4 linked regions of the Lepisosteus oculatus genome follow. The protein of the gene in region 4 interacts with the protein of the main gene of each other region in a pairwise test. Links are inferred from orthologs where the notes say so. Each region holds a gene or a part of one and is shown on either strand. Other genes may lie near its edges.

The links.
Region 1: the proteins of disc1 (region 4) and kalrna interact in a two-hybrid assay, tested with the Homo sapiens proteins (2 studies listed by BioGRID and IntAct). The link is inferred for Lepisosteus oculatus from reciprocal best matches to the Homo sapiens genes DISC1 and KALRN.
Region 2: the proteins of disc1 (region 4) and rabenosyn-5 interact in a two-hybrid assay, tested with the Homo sapiens proteins (2 studies listed by BioGRID and IntAct). The link is inferred for Lepisosteus oculatus from reciprocal best matches to the Homo sapiens genes DISC1 and RBSN.
Region 3: the proteins of disc1 (region 4) and poly [ADP-ribose] polymerase tankyrase-1 interact in binary tests that used the Homo sapiens proteins (3 or more experiments, as listed by UniProt). The link is inferred for Lepisosteus oculatus from reciprocal best matches to the Homo sapiens genes DISC1 and TNKS.

Annotation. Positions count from the first base shown.
Region 1 is NC_090707.1:11,601,655-11,609,479, forward strand, and holds the start of kalrna (kalirin), read right to left. Parts: upstream 3,016-7,825; 5' UTR 2,195-3,015; coding exon 2,128-2,194; intron 1-2,127. Other genes in the region: ropporin-1-like, read left to right, coding at 6,392-6,507. UniProt on the Homo sapiens protein: Promotes the exchange of GDP by GTP. Activates specific Rho GTPase family members, thereby inducing various signaling mechanisms that regulate neuronal shape, growth, and plasticity, through their effects on the actin cytoskeleton.
Region 2 is NC_090699.1:55,419,652-55,426,923, forward strand, and holds the start of rabenosyn-5, read right to left. Parts: upstream 3,005-7,272; 5' UTR 2,899-3,004; intron 640-2,898; 5' UTR 477-639; coding exon 314-476; intron 1-313. UniProt on the Homo sapiens protein: Rab4/Rab5 effector protein acting in early endocytic membrane fusion and membrane trafficking of recycling endosomes. Required for endosome fusion either homotypically or with clathrin coated vesicles.
Region 3 is NC_090698.1:18,734,551-18,741,623, forward strand, and holds the start of poly [ADP-ribose] polymerase tankyrase-1, read right to left. Parts: upstream 3,001-7,073; 5' UTR 2,953-3,000; coding exon 2,457-2,952; intron 1-2,456.
Region 4 is NC_090712.1:5,086,894-5,093,827, forward strand, and holds the start of disc1 (disrupted in schizophrenia 1 protein), read left to right. Parts: upstream 1-3,908; 5' UTR 3,909-4,573; coding exon 4,574-4,682; intron 4,683-6,934. UniProt on the Homo sapiens protein: Involved in the regulation of multiple aspects of embryonic and adult neurogenesis. Required for neural progenitor proliferation in the ventrical/subventrical zone during embryonic brain development and in the adult dentate gyrus of the hippocampus.

The sequences.
Region 1 (7,825 bases), on a different chromosome or scaffold from region 4:
ACACAGTTGTATTAATTCTATTGCACCCATAAAAAAAATAAAACTACTTACTACATAACTAAAATATGTTGGTGTGTAAAAGCTGTCATGAATCAATAACTTGATTAACCTGTCTGAATTCTTCACTCTGTCATGTCATGTAAGTAGAATTCAAACTAAAATTAAAAGCAACACAATACTCCCATTGATAGAGCATGTTAAACAGAAATTGGTAGGTTTCATATAAGTGGACCAAATAAAGAATAAAAGAAACCTTCTTCTTACTTGGTCTGAAACTTTTATATGTTGGAAAACCACACCTTTGCGCCAACTTTGGCCTACTTTGACAAAGCTGTAACACACTGATATAACACTGCCCTCATTTTCTGCAAAAACAGCGTTATTATAGGATTTATTTGATTAAACTCAGTTTGGCGTTTTCTCATATAAATAATTTGTTTGTTTGTTTGTTTGTTTTTCCAGCTGGCTCTACTTTTCTGTTCTTAGTTACTCTGTAAGAAATTGCCACGAGAATGAAAACACACCTTTGAACTTAAACGGGTATACAACAGGTTCTATGGTACAGCAAAACGTAAGCTCTTTATTGAAAAACCCTGACTTGGCCAGTATTACATCACTAGCTATCAGAGAGACTGACAACATCAGCACCATGTATCCAAACTGAATTAAAAACAACAGCACACAAATGCTACAGTACGAATTTAGTTTTAAAAAAGTGCCATTTTTACCTGCATAATACGAATAGGGTTAGCTAAGGTTTATAAAGGCTATCCTGTGGCTTGTGTCTAAGTTTCAGCTTGGGGGGTTAGAGGGTATACAGTCACCATAGTGAAACCAGAATCTCTCAGTCAAGGAACAGCCCAAAGTGCAAATGGTGTTCAATTGTCTGGTGGTTTCAGACAGATTATTTGACTTCATGGTTTAGATGTCACTCCAAAGAGCAGATGTCTAATGGATTTAATGATTAATCCAGATTTTAATGTTTTAACATCTCCATTGCATGTGCAGAATAAAAAAACACCCTCAAAAGGAAGGTTTATGCTAGGAAAGGATACAAACATATTTGATGAGGGTGATGGGTAATTTGAAGACACTCCCTTTTTCTGTTTAATCCTCTCCAGGACCTACAATCACTTTGTCAACAGGAAATCTAAATTATTTAACTATATCTACCAAAACATTTTAGGAACTACAATAACAAGAGACAAGAGAAGATTAGGGTGGAAAATACAGATACTGTATATGGTTACATTCATGTGCTCACTCTCAATAATAAATTATCGATGTATTCCATATTTGTATCATATTGAATTATACTAATAAAACGCAACAGGATGGATAAACTTAAATAATATATTTAATAAGTATAAAGAACTGGACTGCTACACGATTATAAATTTTAAGGTGACAGTTTCGTTACGGTTTTACAATGTGCAAAAGCATGGGTTGATACTAATCCTCTATATTTAAATGTATCACTCCCTGAATGAACCGTTTAACAGTTTAACTTTTAAATTACCATACTTATACCTACACATCACTTGCTTATGTATGTGTACACTGATCCAATGTGTACGTGTGTACAGAAAGGCAAATAAAGACAGAAATGGCTGCATACATACGTACATGCACAATATACAGAATGAACGGGGATAGACTACATGTAAGTATTCGGCAGCAACATGCTTGTTTGCGTGTATGTGGCATGTTTTTCTCATTCAGTCACTCCCTGTTTATAGGCTATAAAAATCTAAGATCAGCCAAGATTGTGCACACCGACACGAAAGAAAACATACGTTAAAACGCACCTATACCAGCTAATATAACTATACATTCCGAGATCCTATTCCTGTTTAATCCACCTCTCTCACAAAACGAAATAATCTTTCTCTCCCAGGAGTGTTGGGAACCCAGTTCCTTCAACCCGGTACAATACATAACGTGAGCTATTGAGGCCGAAGTGATGATCGTTCGTGTGTTTTCTGATTTCCTTTACTCAGTGTCAATACAGGGGTCAATACATGCTCAGGCGTACACAATGTATAATTAACATTTCGCCTTCACAGGATGCTGCAGAATCATTTCCTTTCAGTTATGTGTGATAACAGAAAAAAAATAACCCATTACCTATTTTGAAAAACGCGTCTGCATCCGAATCATTCAGTCCTTCATCGGGTGCTTCGGCTGAATTCATCTTCTTCTTTCTCCCGTGGATTTCAGAAAGGAAAATGTAACTCGAAGTATATCCAGTGATGTGTCTCACAGAATCAGTGCACGATCCCCTCCATATTCTTGTGTTCCTGGTCGCAGCTGTTCGCTTTCCAATCGTGGGTTTCCGTCCGTGTTATTACAAAGAACAGCGCTGCATTTCTCTCTATTGTTCAGAATTCACCCTCCTCTTTCTAGCAGCTCCGGCGCCACAAAAGCAATCCACTGCACATGTGACACATAACGAGGATGCAATAAATTGTTCTGCAAATTATGTTGCAGCTATGTGCAGTGTTTAGTTTATGCGTTTGCACATTTTCGAGATTATTTTGTATATATCCTTACAATTAGCTGCACAGAGTAAGGAATCAGCGTATGGTTGCTTTAGAACTGTACCTTGGCAGTATATTGTAGTGATGTCATACAAATCTGCATAATGTAAGTGACTGGTGCAGAGCAAGGGGTTTTGATCTTGAAATACAGTAGTTACAACGTCGGATTTCTGTTTTTCAATATGCTGTTTCTGGTGCCGAGACACAGCCTGAGTAGGTAGAGATAACATATCACCCTGTGTCCAAATATATGTAAATAAACATGTACCTACATTTTGCTAATTCCGAAAGCAACCTTATCTAAACAAACCTCATTTGTTCTCAAAGGCAGTACGTCTGTTCGTGTGTGGAGAAAGCGACTAAAATAAGTGTACGTTTCTGACAATGAGTGACTTTCCGCACCCTTTTTCACCCCTCCTTCTCACTACCCCGTCTCCTCCTTTTTCCCGTATTAATAACCAATATATTCGTAGGCAGGTCTAGCAGCATACAGCTCCCAGTTTATGCAACTAGAAATATTTGACCATCTAGTGTATAGTCACAGAAAGTCCAATTACTTCGACAACCAGAGTTGCAGTACCTGAATTTCACGCGATATTTTTGCCTAAAGAACTTGCTCCTGCCAGCTTCGGTTCGGGGCTCTTTGTGTTGCACTCCTGTTTTGACCTCATCATGCCCTCAGGAATGCACGGTATGTGTACAGTTATTTTAATAGCCATGCAGATGAGTCATAGAAGATACCATGTTTGGCACACATATTTTTTTCATTTTGTGTGTGCAGGGTGAGTCACCCGATTCATTCATCAATGAGCGGCCAGTTCATATCCCCCAAATGTCATTAAATGTCTGGGTGTTTACACACAACCGACTTGGGTGGTAAAAATGATTACAGGCTGTGCAATTCTGTATATTCCCGGAATCCAGATATAGCGACGTTATACTAGTTACAGCCCTAACCATCTGTCATGGGAAAGGCACGCTGTATCTGAAAATCGAAGCTCCTTTTTTATCAGAAACGAAGGCAATTTTGCTATCTTCAACCAGAGTTCTGGTCATCTACCGCCTCCAAGCGACAACAAATTGTCAAGAACATTGTAAATTTGGGGGGAAAAAGACCTACAACATGTCCATAGACCCGTTTCTTACTCCATTCTTCGTTGAAAGAATGTAATGTCATAGAATAAGCTAACATTACTAAGCATCGCTGACCTTAACGGATGCACAATTCTTTAATTTTGTTTCAGTAACGTACTTGCAATCTAAAAATATTTTTTTAAATCGTGGAGGCCTTAAACTGTTACACATACTGTATACTGTAGTAACAAATAAGTCAATTGGTTAACAGACAACGCAGTTGGGATATAGCGTGCCAAGCTCTTACTGTGTCCAACATTCTTTTTTTTCTACAGATTTAAACTCTCAATTGTATTGTGAAGGATTCTTTTAAAGGTAGGCATCTTGGAAAAACAATAGTGGTGGAATAGTTATAATTTATAGTAAATGAGCTCATCTCACAGGTATGTAAAAAGTTATGTATGCGGCTTCACCGAGCAGTGGCCGGCTTAACTATTGTCAACATGTATCTTACAATAATGTGCCTACATGTGTCAACTAGCACTGAAAAATGTAGGGTTTGAATAAACGTTGAAGTGGTAAGAATTCACGAGGAATAACGACATCCAATAATGATTTCATTTGTGAATATTAAGTATTTTGTAGTATAATACGTTTCGGCATTAAACTGCTCGGTTTTGAGATAGCCCCCTGCCCATAGGATGAGGATTGGAGTTCACCAAGGGGTAGGTTGTAAAAATGGATAGAGGAGGCCTGAGACAAAATGCGAAAAAGAGGTGTTTACTTGTGATACAGATTATTCATGATTATGATTTAGAACAACTGGGTGAAATTGGCTTGTTTGCCATTATCCCCGCCAAACGTCAGTAAAGAACCTCTTCTATTTAAAACGTCTATTATACAAAATATTTAGTATAAAGACTTTATGCCAATAGTTGTGGTTCCAACCGTATTTTAATTTCACAAGGTAGCAGCTGTGACTCATACAAGGATAAAACATGAGAAGTTCTGTAAAGCTAAGCCACTGAATAGAATAAGTGAAACAAGTATGGACAAGGAGAAAAAAAACTTAAAGCGAAGAAAATAGCAGGTTATAAAGATTTTGTGGTGACTCAAAATTTGTAGGGCCATAAATTACAGGAAAATCGAGTCCATTGTCGTTTTAAAAATAGAGATAATTTGCCCCCTAGTGGTATATTTTATACACGACTAGTACTGCAGAAGATTTCTCGTTACTCCAAGATTACCACATACTGTATGAGTTGTAAGATATAACGGCTCCCTGCCATAAAAAGTTGATAAAAATATATAATTTGGAAACATTCTTTATAAGCAAACACATTACACATAGAAACACCAAATTTATTAAAAGAATAGTAACGCTTTTGAAAAAAGGCTTTCATTGGTGTTGTAGACTTAGACATTAACAATATTACATTTTTGGAACGGTCATATCGTACACAGTTAATTATGTTTGGTCTCTACCAATTCATATTATTTTTAAAGCTATACTTTGAATACTATTTGTAAGAGAAAAGAGAACTTCTGTCCGTTTGGTTTGTAACAAAAGGAAAAGGAGTAGCAAAGAGCTTGTTAGCCAACAGATTCATGTTATCCTAGAAAGGCTCCGTAGAACTGAACCTATTGCAGAAGGTGACGTCACCCTCTTGAAGCCTAGATAGTCTACAATTCTCTTATAGTAGAAAAGGCGGTTTTCCGTTTTTCTGGAGAATAGTGCGTTGCTACCGATTAACGCGGAAATAAGAATGGAATAATTAGGAACGTTACAATGTAAAATAATGTTTTAAATTACTTTGCCATGATGAAACGGTACGGTATGTACAGTATTCACAGCTTACTTAAGAAATCCTGTCTCCCATCTCGTCACAGCTACATCACAATACACACAGTACCGAATAAAATATCCTTGTTAAACATCAGGTCAAATCATCTGACAGCTGCACACCTGAACACTCTTCTCAAGTTTCTAATTTTTGACGACACTATCAACTAGAGCGACTGGGCATTGTTCAGAAAAGTCAAGGTCTAGAGGTCTGGAGACGATTGTATTTATTCTAACTTTTACAGACTGATATACTCTAAATGCATTATTTAAGTACTTTTTTATGGTGAAGGTGGTCTGCATCGATTTAAGGACTTATTCATATGATAGACTCTGTCGCCTGTACATACCGGTAAACTTGTGGGGATTCACGATAAAAGGCGATGTTTTGATTTTTTAAACTGAAAAATGTCTTTAGAGCACTAAACACACTGTAATCGGAATGATGAAAACGTAGCCCAGTCCGTGCTGCACTTACTGTTTAGAAAACGGACAGAAAAACAGGTTTGAAAAGAACAAGACACGCAGTTCATTTAATGAGATGTCTATAGACCTGATTAAGAAATCGCGCTGTGATAGTTTTATGTACAGTGTAGTCTGTATAAAATACATTATTATTTGTATTGGCGCATTTTCTATATATTAAGTGAAAAGGAACGAGATGCAGAAAGAGATATTGGAACACGTATATTAATTTGACTATTTCTGGTTTGTTCTGAAATGCATGGCAATTCATTAATTAAAAAAATGTTTCTTGGTGAAAGATTGATAGTTTTGATTTCGCGATTATGTACTTTGTATTGCCTTGAAAAGGCTGGTCTGACACCTTCCACTGTTTGTAGCAATTTTAGACTCTTAGCATCTGTTTTTGTTACGTTGGTTTTCTTCTGATGAATATGCATTTCATCTTGATCTTTTAAGATTGGGCACTGAAATGCCTCTTTCTGGAAAGCAAGTCATCATCCCACCAGAGCTACCAGACATTCTGAAGCAGTTTACTAAAGCTGCTATCAGAACACAGCCAGCCGATCTGCTAGAGTGGTCTTCTATGTAAGTTCTTCCATTATTGAAATACTGCACTCAAAACAGCTTGGAATCAAATATTGCAGTATAGATTCTCCTCTTGTGAAGTGGGGATCTCATAGGTCTAATGAAAAGCCTGCAACTTACAGTAGGTAGCAGTGATAGCTTAAGTGTTTCTTCAATATTTTTCTCTCAAAAAATACTCCATAGCTGTACAAGCATTAGGTTTTATTAACTTACTCCAAGAGGAGCATATCTGCTTTATAGAGAGGTGTTTTTCCTTTGTAGTATGCTTATTAGACTTTTACATTTAAATTATATTATTGTAAACACAGTACTTAGGAACCAAGAATATATAACTTTTATTAACTGTTGTGTGAGATTATACCCAGTCTTATCTTAAAAATGGCAGATTAAATAGAATAATGTTTCACTAATGATGTTTATGTGTTTCTGAAATCTCCTCTTCTGGGATAAACCTGATTTCATTAATGGCACAGTGAACGTGCTCTTATGATCAGTTTATCAAATAGCTGTGTGAGAAGAAAAAAATATATTTACACAGTTGCTGCTTTATGTAGGGGATATTTAATCAAATGAAAAGGAAAACAAAGAGAGGAACTGACACTACTGATTAGTTGAGAGAAGATGCAACATTAATAACAGAAAACCTGGTAGCAGCAGTGCTGAGATTTGGCCCAGCAAATAGTCATGGTTCCCTCAAAGTTAATTTTCTAATTTCAGTAGTGGAATTACAGTATTTGGTTCATGCTCAGGACATAATATTTATATTTTGAAGGCCATGTACTACGCTTTAGGCAATTGCTGAACTGAAATTAGTACTTTCCATAAGCTGTACAGTATATCATTTCCACAAAAAAGTGAACTAAAGATTTGATGTCTTTTAACAGACATTATAAGCATACAGTATGTTCATTTTAACTTCCCCTTATAACTACATGACTGAAGTAGTGTTAGGGCTAGTTTCTATCAGGCTACATGCAAGTATGACAGAATTTCTCCTGCCAGAATTGCTCCACTTTATGGCAAGTACCACATTACTGAAAATAGACATCCTCCCTTAGAGAAGTCTTAGAGGAGGCTGAAAATAGTTGTTCCATTTAAACAAATTTATGTTAAAAAGATAAATGTGCAAAATGTGTTCAATGGAAGAACAGCCTTGCAGTGGATCCATCATCATTAGCAAATTATGTACATACAGTACATCACAGTTGATCCTTTAATTGTACTTAAAAAATCCTTATTGGATATAATAAAAGGTACAAACTAGAGCTGGCCATTAAGCCTATCTAGCCTGTTTGGTGGTTAGTAGCTAATTGATCCA
Region 2 (7,272 bases), on a different chromosome or scaffold from region 4:
TTTAATCACACAGAGTGTCGGGAACATGGTTTTACATCTCATCCAAAGGACAGTGCCTTTTTTATTTATTTTTTTACAGTGTCCCCATCACTATAATGGGGAATTAGGAGCCACACACACTGTAGGGTAAGCACCCCTTACTGGTCCCACTTACACCACTTCCAGCAGCAACCTTAGTTTTTCCCAGGAGGTCTCCCATCCAGGTACTGGCCAGACTTACACCTGCTCAGCTTCAGTGAGTTGTCAGTTATGAGTTGCAGGGTGATAGAGCTCCTAGCCTAACCTAACATAAGGTTTTAAAGCTAGCTCTTACTTTTTATCTGTCCCTTGACGTCCCTGTCTTCCCCAGAGTGCTCGTCCTCATAGTGTGCCTGGAGCTGGTAGAAGGACTGCAGGTCCTTCAGGCACAGCGGACAGAGAAAGCCTTCCCTCACCTCCCCCTGTTCCTCGAACGGAGGTGGGTAGCTGGATGCCATTTTTGAAATGCGGGCTGCTGGTAGACAAAAGCTGTGGAGAAACGGAACTGCTGGTGCCAGAGAGAGGCTCTCCCAGAGCAATATGGCTGCCTCATAGTGCTCCAAGCCGGAGGAAAACTTTAGCCTTTAGGTCTTCCATGGCCATAAGCCACCCACATAGAACCTAAAAAAACATCAAAACATTCAGTAAAAATAACCTACATTTTCTTTATGAGCTACTGCATTCATGATTTTCTTACTTTTAAAATATTCAATATTTTACAGTGTGGGTGATAAGCACAGGACAGGTCGAATGAAGAACTTGTGTTGGGACAGTGTAAAAATGCTTTAAAATCAGAATTCAATAAGGCATTCAACAATCAGACAGCACTGTCCTGCTTAGACAGCAGTTTCATTTTTGCAACATTAAGTATTAAAACAGAAACAAATGCTTCTATGCATTACATTTTCCAATTGGGAGTTTTCCAATTGTTCTCCAAGTGGGAGTGTGAGTCATTTACTTCCTGCATTGCACTTCCATTATGGAATTATATCAGGAAACCTTAAATGGATAAACCAGTCAAGAAAGCATGTTTTTAACAGTAAATACAAATAGTTAGTTTTCAGCTTGTGACTATGATGTAACTAGAATCACAGACATTTCACTACCACTGCAATAATTCAGTATTAATATTTTTTCAGTACTGCTGTATCCAACTAAAAGTAAATAATGAGATCGAAGTAAATAATTGTTTTAGCAAAAATGTGAAACTCTTAAAACATGATACAGAAATGGTTTATACACAAAAGTAACATTTCACTGAGCTGTTTACCATGAAAATAAATGACAACAAGAACTCTTTAATATAGAGTATTAAAATAGTTTAAACATACAGGACACAGAAGTTTGAGAAGTTCTATGGATACCTGAAAAAAACTAATTCTGACTGTGTCAGGCACTGTGGAGCCTGAAGTTCACTCAATTAATGAGTAAGGATTGGTAAAGGATTTGTTGCCAATAGCCAAGTTTTTTTTTAATTGGTAATTAAAAATTGGGATGTTGTATTATAAACACTAATTGGCAATTCCAGATTAAAAACAAATCAAGGCAATGGTTTAGAAATACACCACACAACTCTTGGTCTGTTTTCTCCTAATCTGCTTGATTTAATAGCACTATAAAGTCTTCCTTATCTTCATCACAGACTAGAAAAAAGAGACAGCTGCTCTTAATTTAACATTGTCCCTGTTATATTTAATCCCTTGGGCCTGCAATCAGAAATCAGAGCTGCAGGCTTCAGCACATATTAAAAGGGTGCAATATACTAAATTCACTAACAGCAGCGGGGAACAGTATACTAGAACAGAAAAGGTCGTACAGATGTTAAAAGCCTCAGCTGAGTTTCTCATAATGAAACGCTTGTAAGGTCCACACCTCTCAATGGCTTCTTAATGGCCTTCTTTTGACGGGAAACGCAGGCGTGTAGGCACACCCAAAGAAATTAAAACAATTTAATGTTTATTCTATCAGCTGAAGTGTTCAGTGTTTTAACTCAAAACAGCATGTCAATACTGTTTTAAAATTTGAAAATGCAAAAAGAAAAACCATTTAGCGAAAAGCGCTACACAAAACCGTTATAATCACGAAAGGCCAGGACGGCTGCTCCAAACGAGCACAATTTGAAGGAGGTAGCAGGAGGCTTGATTCGTACTCTTCGGTCAGTTACCGAGAGGCATGGGGTGGCCGATTGGATTTGTTTCACTTGGTGAATACTTCACAATATCGCCTCCTTAAAGAGTCGTGCAAATCTTCTGTAACCCTCAACACAACATGGTTATTCTCTGTGTGAAATAAGGCTTGAAGGCTTAAAAAATGGAGACGAACAAGACAAGTAAGTAGTCCTTGACTGTCGATTACAATAAGGACGTGTTCACGGATGTCTTGGGATCCGCTGTTTCTTAAGCGTTTTGTTTTAATCACTATACTTTTAGATGATTTTATACTCACTCACTAAAACCACAAAAACAATCTAAAGATCTATTATCAACCCTCACGAAGCATTTCGCGTGGCATGTTTAAAAGCATATAATCATTAATGTTTTGGGTCTATAGTAACATTAAATATATATGACAAAGACAAACTCTTGATGGGATTTAATCAAGTTTCATTTACAAAATGTTATTGGTTAATCGTGTAACAGAAACAAACACTGTGTTGCAAACGCAGTAATTAAAGAGACATAATCGGTCTAGTTTCAGCATCAGAATACCTGAAAAATTAATCAAACCGATAAGGAAAACCTTAGTGTTCTTTCGCTGAACTGGATCTGTTACTACACAATGCAGAAATCACACAACAGAAAATAACCCGATCCAGGCGAGAAAAGCAATCATCCGTCGTACATACAAAACGGATCAAGTAATCGAGGCGCTAATACTCACAAATCACGCTGTGTAGATCTTTTTTACTGATAGTACAGTATATTTTGACAGGTGCCGATCGCTGGCTACATAGAATACACTCTCCACAGGTGAAAGGTTACCCACGGCCCTGCCAGTCACATGACGTGCCACGTGATTACAGTGCAGCGCAGTGTAGCGGATAGGAAGGCAAAGAGGACATACAGCACTAAAACATATTTTCTGGGGTCTTCTGTTGCATGTGGATTAACAGTTGATCTACATATCATGTATGACTTCTTTCAGAAGGAATGTTTGCATTAGAATACATCTGCTTACCAACAATTCTTGTTGGTAAGCAAATTATACATGGCATTTTTTTTATATATTTATTTTTTATTTTAGTCTGAAAAATTCATCATCAATTGCTGTGTGGCTCAGTGGCACAGTGGTTTGTATTGCTGCCTCACAGTGTTGGGACCCTGGGTTCAATTCCAGACTTGGGGAGCTATCTGTGTGGAATTTGTACTGTATGTTCTCGCCAGGTTCATGTGAATTTCCTCTGGGGTGCTCCATTTTCCTCCCACAGACCAAAGACATACTGATAGACTAACCGGATTCTGGGAAAACTGGCCCTGGTGTGAGTGTGAACGTGCACATGGGTCTGTGTGTACCTTGAGATGGACTTGCATCCCGCTCAGGGGGCATCCTGACTTACACCCCTTGTTTTCCAGATAGTGTCCAGAAACCCTGTATTGGATACAGCAGTGAGACAATTGATGGATGAATATTTGATGTGACCAGTTCATTCATTACCAGCTTGTCCCAGCTCTTCATTTGTCAGCCTGCAGAACCAGGATTAAAGAACCCTGGTCTAGACACATTGGCAAAACTAGAGGGAAACAAAAAATCTACTACACAACACGTGCCTGAACAGATATCACATTTGTTATTATTGTTTGTTATCACTCCTCCTTTTTTCTTGTATTATTGTTATTTTGGTTATCCTAAAATTTATCACTGCAGATAGAACTCACCAGTGTGTGTTTTGTCTTTTGACTTTTTTCAATTTTTTAAAAACCCCTGTTAGCCTTTTTTATTGTTTTTTTTCTTTTCCACTTTAAGAGCATAAGAAAGGTTGCAACCAAGAGGAGACTATTCAGTACATCTAGCTTTGTCTGGTTGTTTGAGAATCTCATCTAGCCATTTCTTGCAAGCAGCTAAGGGCAGGGACTTGAGTTGTTTAAGATTATGCTAAAATGTGGAGACTGTGGACCAGAAGCTGCTACTCTTCCTTTTTTTTAAATGAAAGTCCTGCTTAATCCAGTGTCTTTAAATCTTGTTTTGTACTTTATTTAGTTGGAACCTTGGCTCATCTCATGCTGAGTCATCCTTTCCTGTTTTTTCCAGCTAAGGCTTCTGGGAGATGCTTCATTTGGTCCAGGTTAAAAACTTCTTCCTCCTTTGTGCTCATCAGTGCTGCCATCTGGAGTCTCCCTCTTTAGGAATTTAAACCAGCAACCTTCCAGCCACAGGTGCAGATCCTTAGCCAGAGTGCCACCGATAATATGGGAAATCAAAAGTTGGCCTGTGTTATAGTTTTTGTTAAGTGTTGATTGCAGCTGGTCTTATACAACCTTGCATTATACACATTTTGTTATACTCATAATGAAGGTTGACTTGACAACTGCGTCTCTGTCTGTCCAATTTAATTGGAAGTCTTATTCCAATTAAAAACCCTTTATTTCTTCTTTAAATGAAATTTTGTGTTTATTGAGCATTAAAATTGATTTTCTATTGTGAGTGTTGTTTTCTCGTCTCACACCTGAAACACTGCCTTCTTGTCGAAGACGGTTCCTGCTGAAGTCAGCCTGCAAATCTCTACTAATGAGGAGTGCAAAATCATAACAATGTGAGTTCTTCACGGAATATAAAAGGATTTGTATTTTGCACTGTTCGTATTAAGCAAACTTATCGCTTTGTGCAGCATGATGCATTGTGGAAATTTCTTTCCACAGAAGTACAACCAAGAGAGGCGTCATGTCTCACTGACACTCAGAACCTAAGTTTTCCACGGAACAAGTCCACAGCAATTCTGACAGGGCAGAGTAATGAAGAGAGCGTTTTGTTAATGAAATGGATAATGCTGGGTTTACTCTATATGTGGTTGGGAGGGTAAGAGGTTGTTGATGAAACCCTCTGTGAAGGTGGGGAGAACAAAACAAACTTCACGCAGGCAAGAGCCTCCAACTGGATTTCAAATGGAATGAAGTTAAGGATCCTGGAGCTGTGGCAGTGGTACTAACCACTGTGTTAGCCGAGCTGGAACAAATCAATAAAACTCCTGATGAATTGAACAGTATTCCGTCATACAGTACGTGCTGATCTTGTGGGTTCTGCATGATACTTTCTCCATTTATTTTTATACACTTACACAGACCCAAGATTCTGAATTTGACTGGGTTTGTCCTGAAAAGTTTAGAGTTGTAATCTAAGAATAAATCCTCTATCTAACCTGCACTCATTGTTTGGATTTGGAAATACAATTATGGTTAGAAAGGAACGATACATTTTGGTCTTAACTGAAAATGGCTGCTTTCCAAAGGCTTCTTGAGGAGATACACTTTAACTAGTTTACACTTTATAAATGCGCCTTTTAAAAACTGGAAATCCAAAGGAGACTTGTTGAAATGGTCTGTGGCTGAGAAAATATGAGCAGCTGGAAACATTATTGGAGCATCCCTTTCTTCCATTCATGTCATCTTTCACAAACACTGTATGCACAAGGCTTCCAGTATAGTAGATGACCCCCCCCACCCCCACCCCTCCCATAAATTCTTTGCTCTCCTACCATCTGGAAGAAGATATTGCAGTATACGGGCTCGCTCCACCAGATTCTGTAACAGCTTTTTCCCACAGGCTGTTAGGCTTCTCAACACCTGGGTACTTACTTGCACCCACTCCAATTCCAGAAACAAGGTTTAAAATCCCCCCAGTGTTTAGTGTATATTGTGTGATGTATTGTTTTATACTATTCTGCAACAGTTAAATTACACCATGTATATAACCTGTGTACATGGCCACTGTCTTAGTTTGCACAATCGTATGTATTAATATTAGCATTGCTAGTCCTGTCTACATTGTCCATGTCAGTGTCTTATCTGTAATTGCACCGTGGACCAGGAGGAATGATATTTTGTATACTGTATACACTGTATACTTATATATGGCTGGAATGACAAACTTGAACTTGATCTCTGTCTATATAACCTATATAAACTCTTCTTCAACCACTGGGTGGCAGCATTGGTTCAAGTTGCAAAAGGCTGCCACTGTGAAGCACCACTGAGGTGTATATACGTGAGCTGGTGGAATTTAAAAAGCCCCATCAATCATTTTAGACCCCAGACCAATTTCCGCTTTTCTGTCCTGAAGACCAGCAATAGGTGGTAATAATATAATTTTTGTTTGGCAAGGCAAATGATACTTGGCATTTTTAGAGTTTTCATGGTATTTGATCTGCGTGCTTAGGATAAGACAGCAAAGCAACAGAATTCAAAACTATGCTTCTGAAATTGCATTGAGCTTGTAAGGAATAATGTTAAACTACTGAATGCTATCATTTGTGGCTTTGTACTAAGAAGAAACTGTTGGAACTTTTGTTAACTGAAGATAGAGCTTTTCAGATACCATGTATCTGATGTACAAGATGTCATCATTCTTTTTGTCTTAAATATCATATCATAATAATTGCTGCCAGGAAGCATAGTAGTACAGTCATTAGCATTGCTGCCTCACAGTGCTGGTTTGATTAATGACCTGGGGTGCTATCTGTGTCAAGTTTGTATGTTCTCCCAGTGTTTGCATGTTTCCTCCCAGTGTCCAAAGACATACTGGTAGGTTAATTGGCTTCTGGGAATATTGCTCTTAGTGTGAGTATGTGCATGTCTGCGTGTGCCCAGCAATGGGCTGGTGTCCCATCCAGGGTGTATCCTGCCTTGTGCCCATTGCTTACAGGATAGGCAACCCTGAATTGGATGAAGCAGTTAGAAAATGGGTGGATGGATAAACGCTGACTGGTTTTGTTAGGAGAAACATTTGTTCTGTACATTCAGAATGGCAATAAATATTTTCAACACTCAGTCATGTTATTTGTCTTTGATGAAATGGTTAGAAAGACAAGAACAGAGATATGATTTATCTGCAACATCTTCGAATACACAGTAACTAGACAATATTTGTAAATCTCCTATTTAGTGCTTTCATATATGATCCTGATTGAAGCTTGCATTGAGTTGAATTCTGTTAAAGTGCTTTCAATACAACATCTTTGTTGCTACTATGTTTATATGAAATAGTGTTCTATGAATTTTAGGGGGAATAGAATGTTTGTTTGGGAGCTTGAACATTGTGCAT
Region 3 (7,073 bases), on a different chromosome or scaffold from region 4:
GTTAATATACACAATCCATTCACAATTATGGCCCGAACTGAAAAACTTAAAAAGAGTTTGAATCCAGTCAGGAAGAAGGATTTGAAAATCGGAATAATTCTATTTGTTCCCACAACATAAAACAACTCGGCTATTTCTCTACATTAAGTAAGAATCCGCAAATAATAGGTTTTATGCGAGTGAGATGGAAAAAAAAACATGATGCTGTCTTTTTCTTTAAATAAAGTGTTTTCTTCAACATTAAATGCTGATTGACCAGACAGGGCTGCAGAATCCCTACACTGGCATGTGTGCCAAACACTTTTATCCTGAGCTTAACATTTTGTGTTGCCCCCCCATGACTCCAAGGCAAGTAAAGAAAAATAAGTAGGAAAGGGTCTCAGCATTATATCTATATACACATATACTGAATATGCAGTAGACATTCTACATCTGTAAATGTATGCTTTCACCCATGTTGACCACGTTTTCTGCAAGGAAGGAGTACCTGAGCAGAAGACTGTGAAGCGCTGATAATATCCAGTTTACAGTCCTTTTTTCACTAGGTCATATGCCAGGTTTTAGAGACAGTTTTCATATAACACAGGAAGGTGCAGGCATCAAGTGTAATCCAGAGAAAAGCCAAGCTCTCTGTAGTGATTGTCATATTCTGGTGATTCTTTTGCCAACCAATGTGATTATAACACTGGAAGATACTGGCACTTTCGTTTATTTTGCACTGTCAGTGAAGTACTTTTGACAATCCCTCAGACTCGGACAGTTAAGCAGGTATATGAAAGAAAATACATCTCTGGTGTGAAGTAGCTCTAAATTTTATCAAGCAAGATCTGAGGAATTCTCTCAGAGTTTCTGAAAAGTCTCGGGATGGATGTTAAAGTTATTCATGTTATGTTCCTATCACCACCCATGTCAGCTGCTAGACAAGACGTACGCAGAGAAAGGGCCTGAGAAATGTTCAAACTGCCATACACCTGGATTGCCAGATCTATTTCTGGAACAACCTCCACACTTTTTTCTTCTTTTGTAGTTTTTTTCTGAAGTACAAAATAAGAGCTACCACAAGGGAAGCTGAGAAAAATAGAGTTGTCAAAGTTTTGGTTGTGGGACTTTTGAATATTTTAATACTTTCTAAAAGGTTCCTAACACATTTTGCACCTTTTTGTAGAAAAACACCCTGGCGTGTCCTGGCATGTTGCAGCTATAAATACACATACCTGCTGTTCTACAGCCAAATAAAAGCAACACAAATGGAAGGTTTTGACATCTGATCTTGAATTTATTAAATAATGGTACATTAAAATAGTACTGACTTTTTGTTAGGCTTTTCTCAGGACAATGTGGTCCATTCAGGAGGACCCAACATGGTGGTCTTAAAATCTTAGACTTGGGGTCTTTTCTGCCCCCTTATCTGAGCAGGTGTGTCAGACTACAGACAGCAAAATAAATCACACTGGCTGACAGGTCTGTCAGCACGTGTTGGACCATTTGTCACAAGCATTTACCCAGACAAGGCCTAAACTGGAAAGTAATTTTCATGTGATCTCCCAGTAATAATAATAATAATAATAATAATAATAAACTTTATTTTATATAGCACCTTTAAAGGGTAGGTTCTCAAAGACAGTATTCTCAGTATATCAACATAAGTTTCGATTTTACTTTGCTTGTAATTACGTGGAAAATGAAGCAAAATCGGTCTCATCTTGATTGCAATCACACGCCCTGAAAAGTTTGTGTTCCCCACAAATGACAGACGAAAAGTCACGTTTTGACAGCACAAGTTATTTATCTCCGTGTTAAAAAAAAAACAGCTCTCCATAATCAACTTCACGGATTGCCGCTCCCACAGCGCGCACACAACATGCGGACACCCGCACGGCCTGGGCTTCGTTTAAACGCTCAACCCAACTTCCCAAACTTCAGTTCAGACGTTGTTTTGAACGGATCTCTCCTCGTAAAACCCAGATGGGATAACAGAGCTTCGCGCGAACTAATTCAGACACGTCGCGGAGTGGCGTGACAGCTTATGCTCGCTCAGGTGTTACTAGCCTCTCCTCAAACTGGCACGACCCCCAGACTCGGCAGATGAGGGCTAAACACCAGCGAAGTCTCGCCGCAAAGTTATACTCCAGTTAAAAGGCATCCGCGTTCATCGGCTAAACCACCACAACGCTGCCCACTCCACCGACCTCATCGAAAAAACGGAAGCAACTCTAATGTGCAAAGACACGAATTCCACAGCAGCTGCAGCCTCCCGGATGGAAGCGTGGATTTCCAGTTACTTTGATCCACCCCCCCCTCCTATTTTCTCGATTAGAATTGTCGATCATCAGCGCTTTAATCGTTTATTGCGGGTTTTCAACCACCCTCCAGGGCTGCCCTTACATATCCTAACAGCGACTTCAAATGTCAAGCGATAGAAAACAAATCAAACACACACACAGCGAAATACTGACCGGCCGCGAAGTGAAGCGGGGTGGATTTTCTCCCGGCCATGTCCTTGGCGTTCACGTTCCCCGAGTCCACCAGCCTCTTGACCCGGGACACATCCCCGTTGCGGCAGGCCTCAAACAGCTCCCTAAACGCCCCCCCGCCGCCGCCGCCGCTACCTCCCGGACTTGCAGTGCCCGAGTCCGGGCTGGAGCCGCCGCTGCTGCTGCTGCTGCTGCCCCCGCCGGTGGTTGTCGTCGTGGAGCCGCCGCCGCCGCCGCCGCTGCTGCTAGCAGTACTGCTGCTGCTGCTAAGGGCCGGAGCGGGGAGATCGGGGGAGGCCGGCGTGATCTCCGCTTCCCCGCTGCTGTCCTGGTCGGCGCCAACCGGGACCGTGGCTGCAGCCCCTGCGGGTGCAGGAGCAAGAGGTGAACCTGGGGGAGTCGGGGAGAGAGAGGAGCTCCGCGGAGGGGACGACAGGCTCTGTTGCTGCTGATGAGACGAGCGACGAGACGCCGCCATTTTCACAACACAGGAGTCCCTCTGGCAACAAAAACAGCGCCGCTCACTTCCGGGAAACAAGCAAATGCGTGCTTCCGGACGTGGACAGCCAATGATCGCAGAAGCAAAACAACTTAACAAAGGACAGACGATCCCGTAGCGCAAATATATGCTGTACGGACTTTATTGGAGCCGGGGCAGAAGTGAAACTCAGTAGAAAATGAGGAGAATAACACGCATTATGTACATACATCGAAATAAAAGTACCCTTGAACACTACTCCAATTTATTTTGACAAATTAAAACTTTGCAACGAAGATAAACACAACAAATAATGTAAAAAAAAGTCAATTGGTACAAATGTTTCGCCTCGTTTTCTGCGCAAATAAACACACTTTGTTGAATAGTTAAAGCCATAGCATCCAAAATTAACAGTTACCATATGTAATCCAAAAATCTGGTTAGACAGCTCTTGATCGAACTCAGATTCCTGACATATTATGGTCTTCTTGAAATTTTCAATGTGTTCCTTCAAGGGTTCCCTTCTAAAGGTGTTCTATGGTGTATTTTGAAATAAACACGACAGAGTGCAGCAGAATCACAGTGAAACATTAAACCCAGATGGATAATATTTTTGCCATGGCAGAGAAAATTAAAAACCACATCCTTGTGGTACATGTACATCTTGGAACCCATGCAGTATTACTGGACAGATTTATCATGGTAATAAGAAAAACTGAGGTTTTAGTGGATAACAATTGAGGGGCAGCAATAGAGTACTAGCTGGAAGATTGTGGATTTGATTTTCTTATGTAGACTCTAAGTACCCCATATGAATGGACACAAGCATGGCTGGAGTTACTTGGGCTAGTGTCATATACAACAAAGTCATCTAATCTTAGTCCATTTAACACCACGAAATCTGAGATGAGCTCAAACATGATGAGCCACAAGCCTCCAGGATAGCTTTTAACAACGGAGGATACAGAAATAGAAATGAGTATTTGCTAGTCTCTATGAGCCTGTCAACTCACCTGCACCCAGGAAAATCATGGATCCAGTATATCATCTGCCCATGCTTCTACTTCCATACTCTACTGTGTGATTAACTGTAACAGATTCACAATCGGTTCTTTGTATTACCTTTTTTACCCAATTTTATCACTTCAACATCTACAATGCTAACTTACAGTAAGTTTCTCCTGCATTTCTGGATTTTGCTGGTTGTCTTAAATTAGAAAGACCATCCATGGAGTCAGTCTTATTTTGCTCTTAATGTTGGGAAGGTCTTAATCAAAGCTCATCTCAGCATACTCCAACCCCCACCCCCACCTCCTCCTTCACTGTAGCATTTATTGTGGAAACCAAAATGTTTCTTAACTACTTGGTCTCCTGTACATGACGACTAATCAACACATTTGCTTGTGGACTCTTTATAAAGCCATCTATCTTAAGATTAAAATAATGCAAAAATCGAATAATGTGTCAGCTTTATCCCTATGCAATTTACTTTTCTATGTTTAATGAAAACCTGACACTGGAGATATTAAATAGAAACAAATGCTGCTAATTAATTTCATTGTGTTTTTTTTTTCACAAATGGCAACAATAAACATCACTCATTGTCATAGTAATTACTTCCAGTGCTCTTATTCCTCTTCTAAAGCATGTTGTGCATATAATTAATATGTTTTGAAATGCACTCATACATAATTACATCATCTTGGTAAGGAACCAGGGAGTGTCCGCCATAAGCAACAAAAATTACTGACATAGCATCTTCTTAAAAAACTGACATGAATTTAATCAACTTTTAATTGTAAACATAGCATCAATTATGACAAAAAAACATTTTGCAGCAGGTTGACTGCCACAACATTGATAAGTTAATTTTTCTGATTAACAGTGGGTCACAGGCTACCAGTGTGTGTGGCCCCTGCTGGAAAGAATTCAAGCTTAAAATCTTGACATGTTACATTGCCTGTGTAAATCCTGGTCAAGCATGGGTCAGATCACTTGTCTCTGAGCTCTAAAATGGCACACATCATCCCAGTTCATCCCACTAATGCTCCATAGGGCTCAAGGTTTGGAAGCAGGACATTGTTGACACCACTGTCGCATACTCAGAGAAAGCTGTTACACAAGCAACAGGAGGACTCACTTTGGCTGTCTGGAATGTTATCACAGCTGGATGAGTCCACAGGAGGAGCAACAAGCGATGCCCCAGAACTTCATCAGAGAAGTAGTGTGCAGTTGGGATGTGTTATAAGGGGATTGCTGTAGCGACCGGACACTCTTGCCCAGACCATCATATTTGGATCTTCCTGTTGATCGATCTGTTGTACACAGCGCTTGGCATGACACTCTGCACATCCCTACTACGTTCGCAGAAATCTATCAGGGGGGGCTACACAAAACCCTGATTCATTGTTACGGAGGATTTGGCATCACTGCCTTCATGTCCACATGAATTCATTTAGTCCAGCTTCCAACATATTGATTGCATGAAGGCATTGTTCCCTTGATAAAAGATCCTCTTAATATTGGTTCTTTTCTGTGGTTTTCTCTTTCGATTTTTTACAAGGTTTGACATTAAAACCACCTCATCACCTGTGTCCAATTGACTATCTCACTAATTAGGTGATTTAGTGATTATACAACCGTTGAAGTCACTTAAGTGTATTACAGTCTCAGAAGTATCAATTAGTCAAAAAGATGGCAAGAACATTTAATTAATATCCAATATTTATATACTTTATTTTTCAGTAATATGTTTGTTTTGATGCTCTGTACAAGAGTTTGTAATATTGATGATCCCTATAAAACCAATTGTTGGTTTTGCATCTAAGTCAGGTGTGTAAGAGAAAAGTTAAAGAAAATGACTAAACTGAGTAAAAAAATAACAAAACATTTACCTATCTTTGCAATACAAAGTGCAAACCAGTACCAAACAGGTCAATTTTTTACTTTCCATTGGTCTGTTAATTTAACCCATAAACAACATGCCGTCCATCTTTAAAATGAGACATTAAACTGAGGTCCTGACTCTCAGTGCTCATTAAAGATCCCTGGGCATTTCTCAATAAGATTAGGGAGTTATTCGGTGTCCCAGGCCAAATTTCCCCCCTCTGGCTTTACCGTGGCCTCCAAATTGTATGATTGGCTTGCACTTGCCCTGGGATGGACTGGAGAGCCGTCCAGGGTGTCCAGGGTGTACCCTGCCTTGCATTTGTTGCAGTCACGATTGTAGTTTGTCCCACTTAAGGGCTCTCCGGCTCTTTCACATTTGAGTTGATTTTGTGCACCTGCTCCCAGTTCCTGCCTCCCTACTTAAGCCAGACGCTCACTCTGTTCCGGGCTCTGCATTGGTTTCCAGTACCAGTGGAGTATGGGACCTGGAGCGCCTGGTCCTGTTTCCCCTTTTTCCCCCCGACCCTCCGCCAGATGGTATAAAGCGGTTTGGCGAATGACATGACATGACATGAGATGACAACATGCCATTCAACTTAATCTATGTCTCCAACACACATGACACTACTGTCATTAAAGAAAGAAGCTCCATGCAGTCTTCTTTGTATTACCCAGAAGCCTCTTTTATCTGCTATTCTAAAATAAGCTGTGTTAACACAGGTCAATTTGGAAATAAAATAAGACATTTGCCTAATTCTGTGAAGCCCGATTCACTCAGCCCACACAGTTCACTGGGGCTCTCTGTGATTTGAAGAAAGCTGTGTGAGCTGAAAATCCATTATTTAACATTGCAGAACTACTGTTTGACTTGAACAGAGACTACGAATAGCATTGTTCAGATCAGGGAAAATAATACCTGTATTCATTCTAGTTTAATGTCTTGCCGTGACATCCGCTAAATCATTTTATGTAAAGCAAACAAAAAGAGAACCCAATTGGAATGTTAACACAGAGTACCTAGTTGTGGTAAATCCTAATATACAATATTTATAGGATAATCCTAACTGACGTAAATTACACTACACAGTAGCAAATCACTTACCCTTTCAGATCTTCACATTTGTTTGACCAGAGCTCTATAAAGTCTTATACACTGGCTTTGAAAATAATTTAATTGTTGTTCATTTGGTTGTTTTTCTTATGATAGAGAATTCATTGCATGTTCAGAAGTG
Region 4 (6,934 bases):
GAAGGTGTCATAGAACTTGGAACAAGAAGCCCTTTTTGTGGGTGTCTGAACATGCTGGTTTGCTGTGTTGAAGCCATGTTCCTAGGGAGCCTTCAAGAAACAGCAGGATGGGATACTTGCATCAATGAGCTACTTACAGCCAAAGGCAGTGAGTGAGTTGAATGGTCTGCTCTTCGGTGTAACCATTTTAGTTTGTTGCTGATCTTGACTGACTTTATTCTCTAATTGCCAAAATGTCAAGGAGCAGCTTTCTCTCTTACAAGTGAATACAGCAGTAAGCTTCCATGTGTATGATAGTCACAAGTGTTTCCTTAAAAAATGCGGTGAGTTAGATTAAAAACTAGCGCCCATTCACTTGCCAATTCACAAGGTCAGGCACAGATCAAATATCTATGCCTCACAAAATATCATGCTGTATGTGTAATATAAACGTTCAAACCTTTGCTTAAAAACAGCACCATGCAATACTCCAAACTCAGAGCAAAAGCTTAATGCTTAGCAAATAAGGTAGCTAATGAATGGGTTAACCTAGCCATAGCAATAAACATGTGTTTGAGCCTGGTCAGTACCTGGATGGGAGACCTCCTGGGAAAAACTAAGGTTGCTGCTGGAAGAGGTGTTAGTGGGGCCAGCAGGGGGCGCTCACCCTGTGGTCTATGTGGGTCCTAATGCCCCAGTATAGTGACGGGGACACTATACTGTAAACAGGTGCTGGATGAGACGTAAAACCGAGGTCCAGACTCTCTGTGGTCATTAAAAATCCCAGGGTGTTTCTCAAAAAGAGTAGGGGTCTAACCCCAGCGTCCTGGCCAAATTTCCAATTGGCCTTTACCAACCATGGCCTCCTAATAATCCCCCTCTATGAATTGGCTACATTACTCTGCTCTCCTCCCCACTGGTAGCTGATGTGTGGGGAGCGTTCTGGTGCACTATGGCTGCTGTCGCATCATCCAGGTGGGGCTGCACATTGGTGGTGGTGGAGGGGAGTCCCCATTACCTGTAAAACGCTTTGAGTGGAGTGTCCAGAAAATTGCTATATAAGTGTAAGCAATTATTATTATTATTATTATTATTATTATTATTATTATGTGCAACTGCAGTAGTAGTGAACATAAACCCGATTTATTAAAAATAACTGCAGTTCAGCATCTTCCCACTAGGTGGCAATGCCGAGCTACGGTTGAACTTTTTCACTTTTGCTGGTTATCTGCGGGGAGACACATCTTCCTCAGTGGCGAAAAATGAACCTTCGATAGCGCTGCTGGGTATATTTTGTCTTTAACAGACACTGACATTTTTGTAAAGAGCAAAAGGCACGCACGGTGAAACTGTGATCCCTCCACCACCCTTGCCCTTAACGTGTCTTTATAAACTCGGATTGAAACAAATGTGTGTATGAACCTGCACTTGACCAGACTGAAAGAAAGAGTTAAACGCCTCATTTAATTTAATTATATTCTGTTCCTTGCGACGCAATGAACAACCGAAAGGGACACGACTTCACAGCCGCGGTACAGTTTTGCATCTCCCAGAATGTCAACTGAAAACGTGGCAAAGCATGGCATATTCATAACCTCTAATGCAGTTTCTTTGGCACCCGGTGTATTTTTTATCATTTTGAAACTAGATCTCATTTCCAGTTTCAAGCTTGGCCAGCTGGGGGCCAGTGTGTAACGCCTTCATTTATTCTGCAGCTGAAAGGGTAAATGCCTACATGCCATTCTCACCCGGCTTGGTTTAAAAGGCGATGCTCTCTCACAGAGAGTTCATGTCTACCGAGACAGGAGAGGAGACGGGGAACAAGTGCACCTCTGTTTAGAAGCAGCATGAAAGAACTTGAATTACAGTTCGGCGGAGTGGATACGTCCCCCACCCCGACACTGCGACCATACAGTAGACTTCCAAGCAAAGCTCCGTTTCGCCACAAAATGGCCCGGGCATTCCTTTTGGCTCTGGCTGCCTGGAAGAGCACATTAGAGACAGCGCTGCACAAGCAATGTCTTTTCATCTCCTGTTAGAGGGGCTCTGTTAACTGCAGTACTGATACATTGATATACTATTAATATACTAAGATATGTGGTGGTGTTTGGTAGCAAAAGGTAAGAAAAAACATTATAAGTTAGGCTTTCACATGTTTTTACCTTATCAAATTATTTTAATTCTTAAGAGAGGAAGGGGTTTTGCAGTTTGTGTTTCACTAGAAATGATCAAACCCAAGGCAACACTTTGGGAACAATTTCTTATGCTTTCCCTCTGCTTTTATCAGGTCATTCTTATTTGTAAAACTCGATTCTGCTTACATGTGTGAAGTGCATCATCACAGGGCAGCACATACCTCTCATGTCTGAGCACTGAGCACCTGCTCTGCCACCAGCACTTGAGCGCCTAACCTCTGCAACTTGCAAACACTGAAGTCTTGCTCATACTGTATACTGTAACTCACAACTGGCAACCCAGTGGAGCTCAGCAGGTGTGAGCCTGGTCAGTAACCGGCATAGGAGCCCTCCTGGGAGAAGCTGAGGCTGCCGCTGGAAGAGGTGTTAGTAGGGCCAGCAGGGAGCACTCACCCTGCAGCCTGTGTGGGTCCTAATGCCCCAGTGTAGTGACGGGGACACTATACTGTAAAAAGGCTCCGTCCTTTGGATGAGACGTAAAACCAAGGTCATGACTCTCTGTGGTCATTAAAAATCCCAGGGTGCTTCTCGAAAAGAGTAGGGGTGTATCCTGGATAAATTTCCCATTGGCCCGTATCAATCATGGCCTCCTAATAACCCCCATCTCTGAACTGGCTTCATTACTCTGCTCTCCTCCCCACTGAGAGCTGGTGTGTGGTGAGTGTTCTGGTGCACTATGGCTGCTGTCATCATCCAGGTGGGGCTGCACATTGGTGGTGATGGAGGGGATCCCCATTACCTGTAAAGCACTTTGAGTGGAGTGTCCAGAAGAGCGCTATATAAGTCTAAGAAGATATTATTATTAATTATATAAGGGTCCTTACACACAAGGCCATCTCCACAGTACCTTTGGATAAAAGGGTCAGCTATATACTGTAAATGAACAGTTGCAGTCTAGTCGATTTCAGTTTTCCATTTGGGGGCAATGGAGTATTTAAAAAACAGTTACTTTAGTCTGTTTCACAGAGTTGAGGACGTTGGAGTGGAGTTGCTGCTCCTCTGGATCGAGAGGAGTCAGTTGAGAAGGGCTGGGCATCTGGTGAGGACCCAGGGTGGACCCAGGACAGGCTGGGGGGGGAGGGTTCTCTCAGCTGGTCTGGGAGCTCCTGAGAGTCCCGCAAGAGGACTTGGAGACTGTTGCCGGGGAAAGGAAAGGAAATTCTGGGCTGCCCTGCTCGGCCAGTCATCACAGCAACCCTCAGCAGGAGCAAGGGGCTAGAACATGGGTGGATGGACGTGAAAAGGTCCAGTGGGACTTTTGAAAACCTCTCATGTCTTAATTAGAATCAACTCTGTACCAGATTCTGTGTTTCAGAACTACCTGCGCACAGGTGTGACGTCGGAAATGGAAACGCCTGGACCGCCTGGCAGATGGAAAGCAAAGCTCGCTGAGGGTGTCTGACACAACGTCCGTCTCGCCTGGATCTGTTCATCGGAAACCCATCACCTTCTGGGGGCTGTGCACCGAGAAATAAGGGTTCGCAAATCGAGGAGAGATTGTTTAAAGTCCTGTGGGATGTTTTTGTAGGCCAAACTATCTTAGAAGGGGGGTGGACACACATCATAGGGGGGATTGGAAATTCCTGCCCAACAGGAAGACCACCGCCTTCATGTCCATCGACACCATTTGACACATTTTCCAAATGCAATACAGTTTAGTCTTTAACGGGAAAAAAACACCCGCTTTTGATATTCAGAATGAATGGTGACCATTTAAGTGGCGTCCCAACATAATTTCGTTGTTTAACTCGTTTGCACATCCAGCTAGCGCTTCCCAGTCACCCCAGAGCCGAAGGAGGCGGCTCCGGCACTGCGTGCGGTTTCGGATTTCATCTCACGGCCAGAGGAAACTCCTGGGCTTCACAATGGAGCGCATAACGGCATAAAGCGCCGCGGGCTGTATCTGGAATACGACGGCAGAAAATGTTAGCACGGAACAGAAAGCGCCGAGCCTTTTTTTTCTGCGTAACCCTTGGAAGATTGCGCCGCGCTCCGTAAAAACAAAATCAAACTGGCGAATGTTATTCTTCCCACTGGGAAGTGGCAGGAATTGTCATCAAGCGCTGCCTGGGATTTTGCCTGGTTTAAGGGCAGTGCTGTTAGTGAGCTGCAGGCTGAAGACGAAACACACTAAAGACACGCCGGCGTCTTCTTTTAACGCAGGCCACACAGGGGACACAAAACGCGCAGGAAGCGGTGCGAGTCTTGGAATTTTATTTTTAGGGGAAACACTTTCCCGAGCGGAAATGACTTCAGTGTGATTTTCTTTCTGCAGAGCTCCGCCAGAGAAGGGAATTCCTAGGCAGACTGGAAAGATGTCCGTTTTCACCCGTTCATCGTTTCTGGAAACATAACAGCTTTTGTTGTTTTGTTTTGTTTTTTTGCTCCTTGCAAAAAAAATGTTTACCGGGATGGTGAAGGTAGGGGGCGAAGTCCCCTCCATGCCGATCTCTGACACTGACAGCATCACGCACGTCAGCCACCGGCACCATGCTGGGTTCAGGCCAGGTAATTATTGGCGTTATTTACTATAAAGCGTTGCGAGGTCTAAATCTGTTCAACTGCGTTGCGCTTTATTAAACACGATTGACATCATCGGTGTTTTATGCATGTTCTTCTCTTATGTTATATCTTCTTTGAACGTTAATAGTTTGCGGTTCGATAACTGTAAAATACTGTAGTTTTGTTTTACAATTCAATGTCCGCACCGGTTTTTGAAGCTGTAAAAACTCGGATTTGAACAATGTTGCGAGTTCGATTGATAAACACAAACGCCCCTGAAAACATTTTCACATCTATTCATAGTGTTGGTTGGTTTCAGTTGTATCCAAATGTTTATTTATTTTTGCATCTGTTTTGTGATCACAGTTACCACTACCCGCCTGAGCCAGATTCGTTACAAGAAATTGCACTGCGGCCAACTTTTGAGCGAAACGTCAGCCGAGTTCTGTGAACTGCAAGTTTGCAAGGAGTTTTTTTGGGGAAATTAATCGCGCGTGATGAGCACAAAAACGGCATGACCCAAAATGTTTTTTGAAATGCTGAAACATGTAACACAATATATGATATTTTAGGAAGTCACGCAATGCGTTTATAAAACCTCTGACTGCCCTTAGGTTTTAAAGTAACACATCTAGCCCTGGTTAAAAAAATGAAATTTCCCATGACTGCTGTTTAATTCAAATTTGTAGATGATCGGACGTTAGGCTAACTTTTTTTTTAATAATCTGAAAATTCACACTGCAGGGATTTACATTAGAATTGTGAATTAATCTGTGATCGTCGCATTTCTACAGTTTTTAACTGTAGTACGGGCAAGCAAGCATTTTAGACGTGTCTCCTGAATGACACGCACGCACAGAACGCAGATCTGAGGACAAAGTTGAATTTGAGATGTTACAGCACAGCAAAGCTGCGTGTCCGACGTTCAGTCCAATCAGCTTTCCCAACTCGTCATATCACAGGGAACTCGAGTCCTCAACCCTGATGCAGATACTGTGTGCGCTTTTCCAAGACAGCCTGAAAAGTTTACCCCCGTCTTCAAGATCAGAGATGTTTTCTATTGTTGTTGAATAAACATAGATGCTACTTGCTAGTTTAAAAACAAACGAAGGCCCCGGTGCTAATGTCAGAATTGTTTGTGTATTTATTTATGCATAAAGTCGTCTCTTAACATAAAACCAGTCTATATTAATCCAAACGTCATTGGCCTGAATGACACGATTTTCCAACAAGGGAAGCCATATTTCTAGTAAACCTGAAACTAGTGAGCACATAAAGCAAGCACACGAAAAACAAGGTTTTTCAGATGACCGTTAATAAAGTCTTTGAAGTTTGATCATGTGTGGAGCTTGTTTTTCAAGTTCTCGCTGACATACATACTGTATGAGTCTGAGCAGTGAATCTGCAGTATGTAGCATAAGTAGACACTTCACATTAATCTGACAAAAAGAATTTGAATTCTGTACATTTTGAATTCTCTTTATCAGTTTTTTTAGCTTTGTAATCTTACAGTTTTGGGGTCTGCATTTTCACAGGCAGAAAATCCGATAGAGGCAGTTTTACATAGCATTCTGTATTTTGGAATTATCTGAAGGGAGATTATTGTTAATAGAGAAAAAAAATATTGTGGAGAGACAACAGAAGTCAAATAGAGTACTCTGTACCTCAAGTTGTGATGTTGTGCCTTTATTACAGAAAACAGAAACAGAAACATTAAAATAGTCTGTAATATTGTTCTTAGAAGCTATGAATGGTTTTCTGCTGGTTAAAAAACGAAATTAAAGGTGATGTAGAATAATTCCTCCACAGGAAAAAAAAATGATTTGTTTATTTGCGTTTTATGCTGTATCGGTTTGCCATTAATCTTAGTCTGTCTTTCATTTATGCTTTTTAAAAAGCAAAGAAATGTAAAAACTGTATTATGAAGGCCTTTCGTCACTGTCGTCTGCTGTATCTTACTAGTTTTGACATTTTTATTTCTGTTCAAAGGCCATTAGTCATGTTTTGTTGCCTGAGCAGCCTAGAGATTAAAAATGATTATGGAGGAGAATCGCTTTTGTTTCAGTTACTGGTATTGGACTTCCTTATTTCTTGTTAAATTCTTACTTTCTTAAAATACCCCTTTTCTGTTGCACTTCTTCTTAGAAAAGATTTTGAATTTTCTCATTTATTTATTTATGCCTACAGGCAACGTGCTTGTGATAGCTTTGTGTTTCCACATGACTTAACAGGATGTTTTCTGTATAACTTTCTGTGCT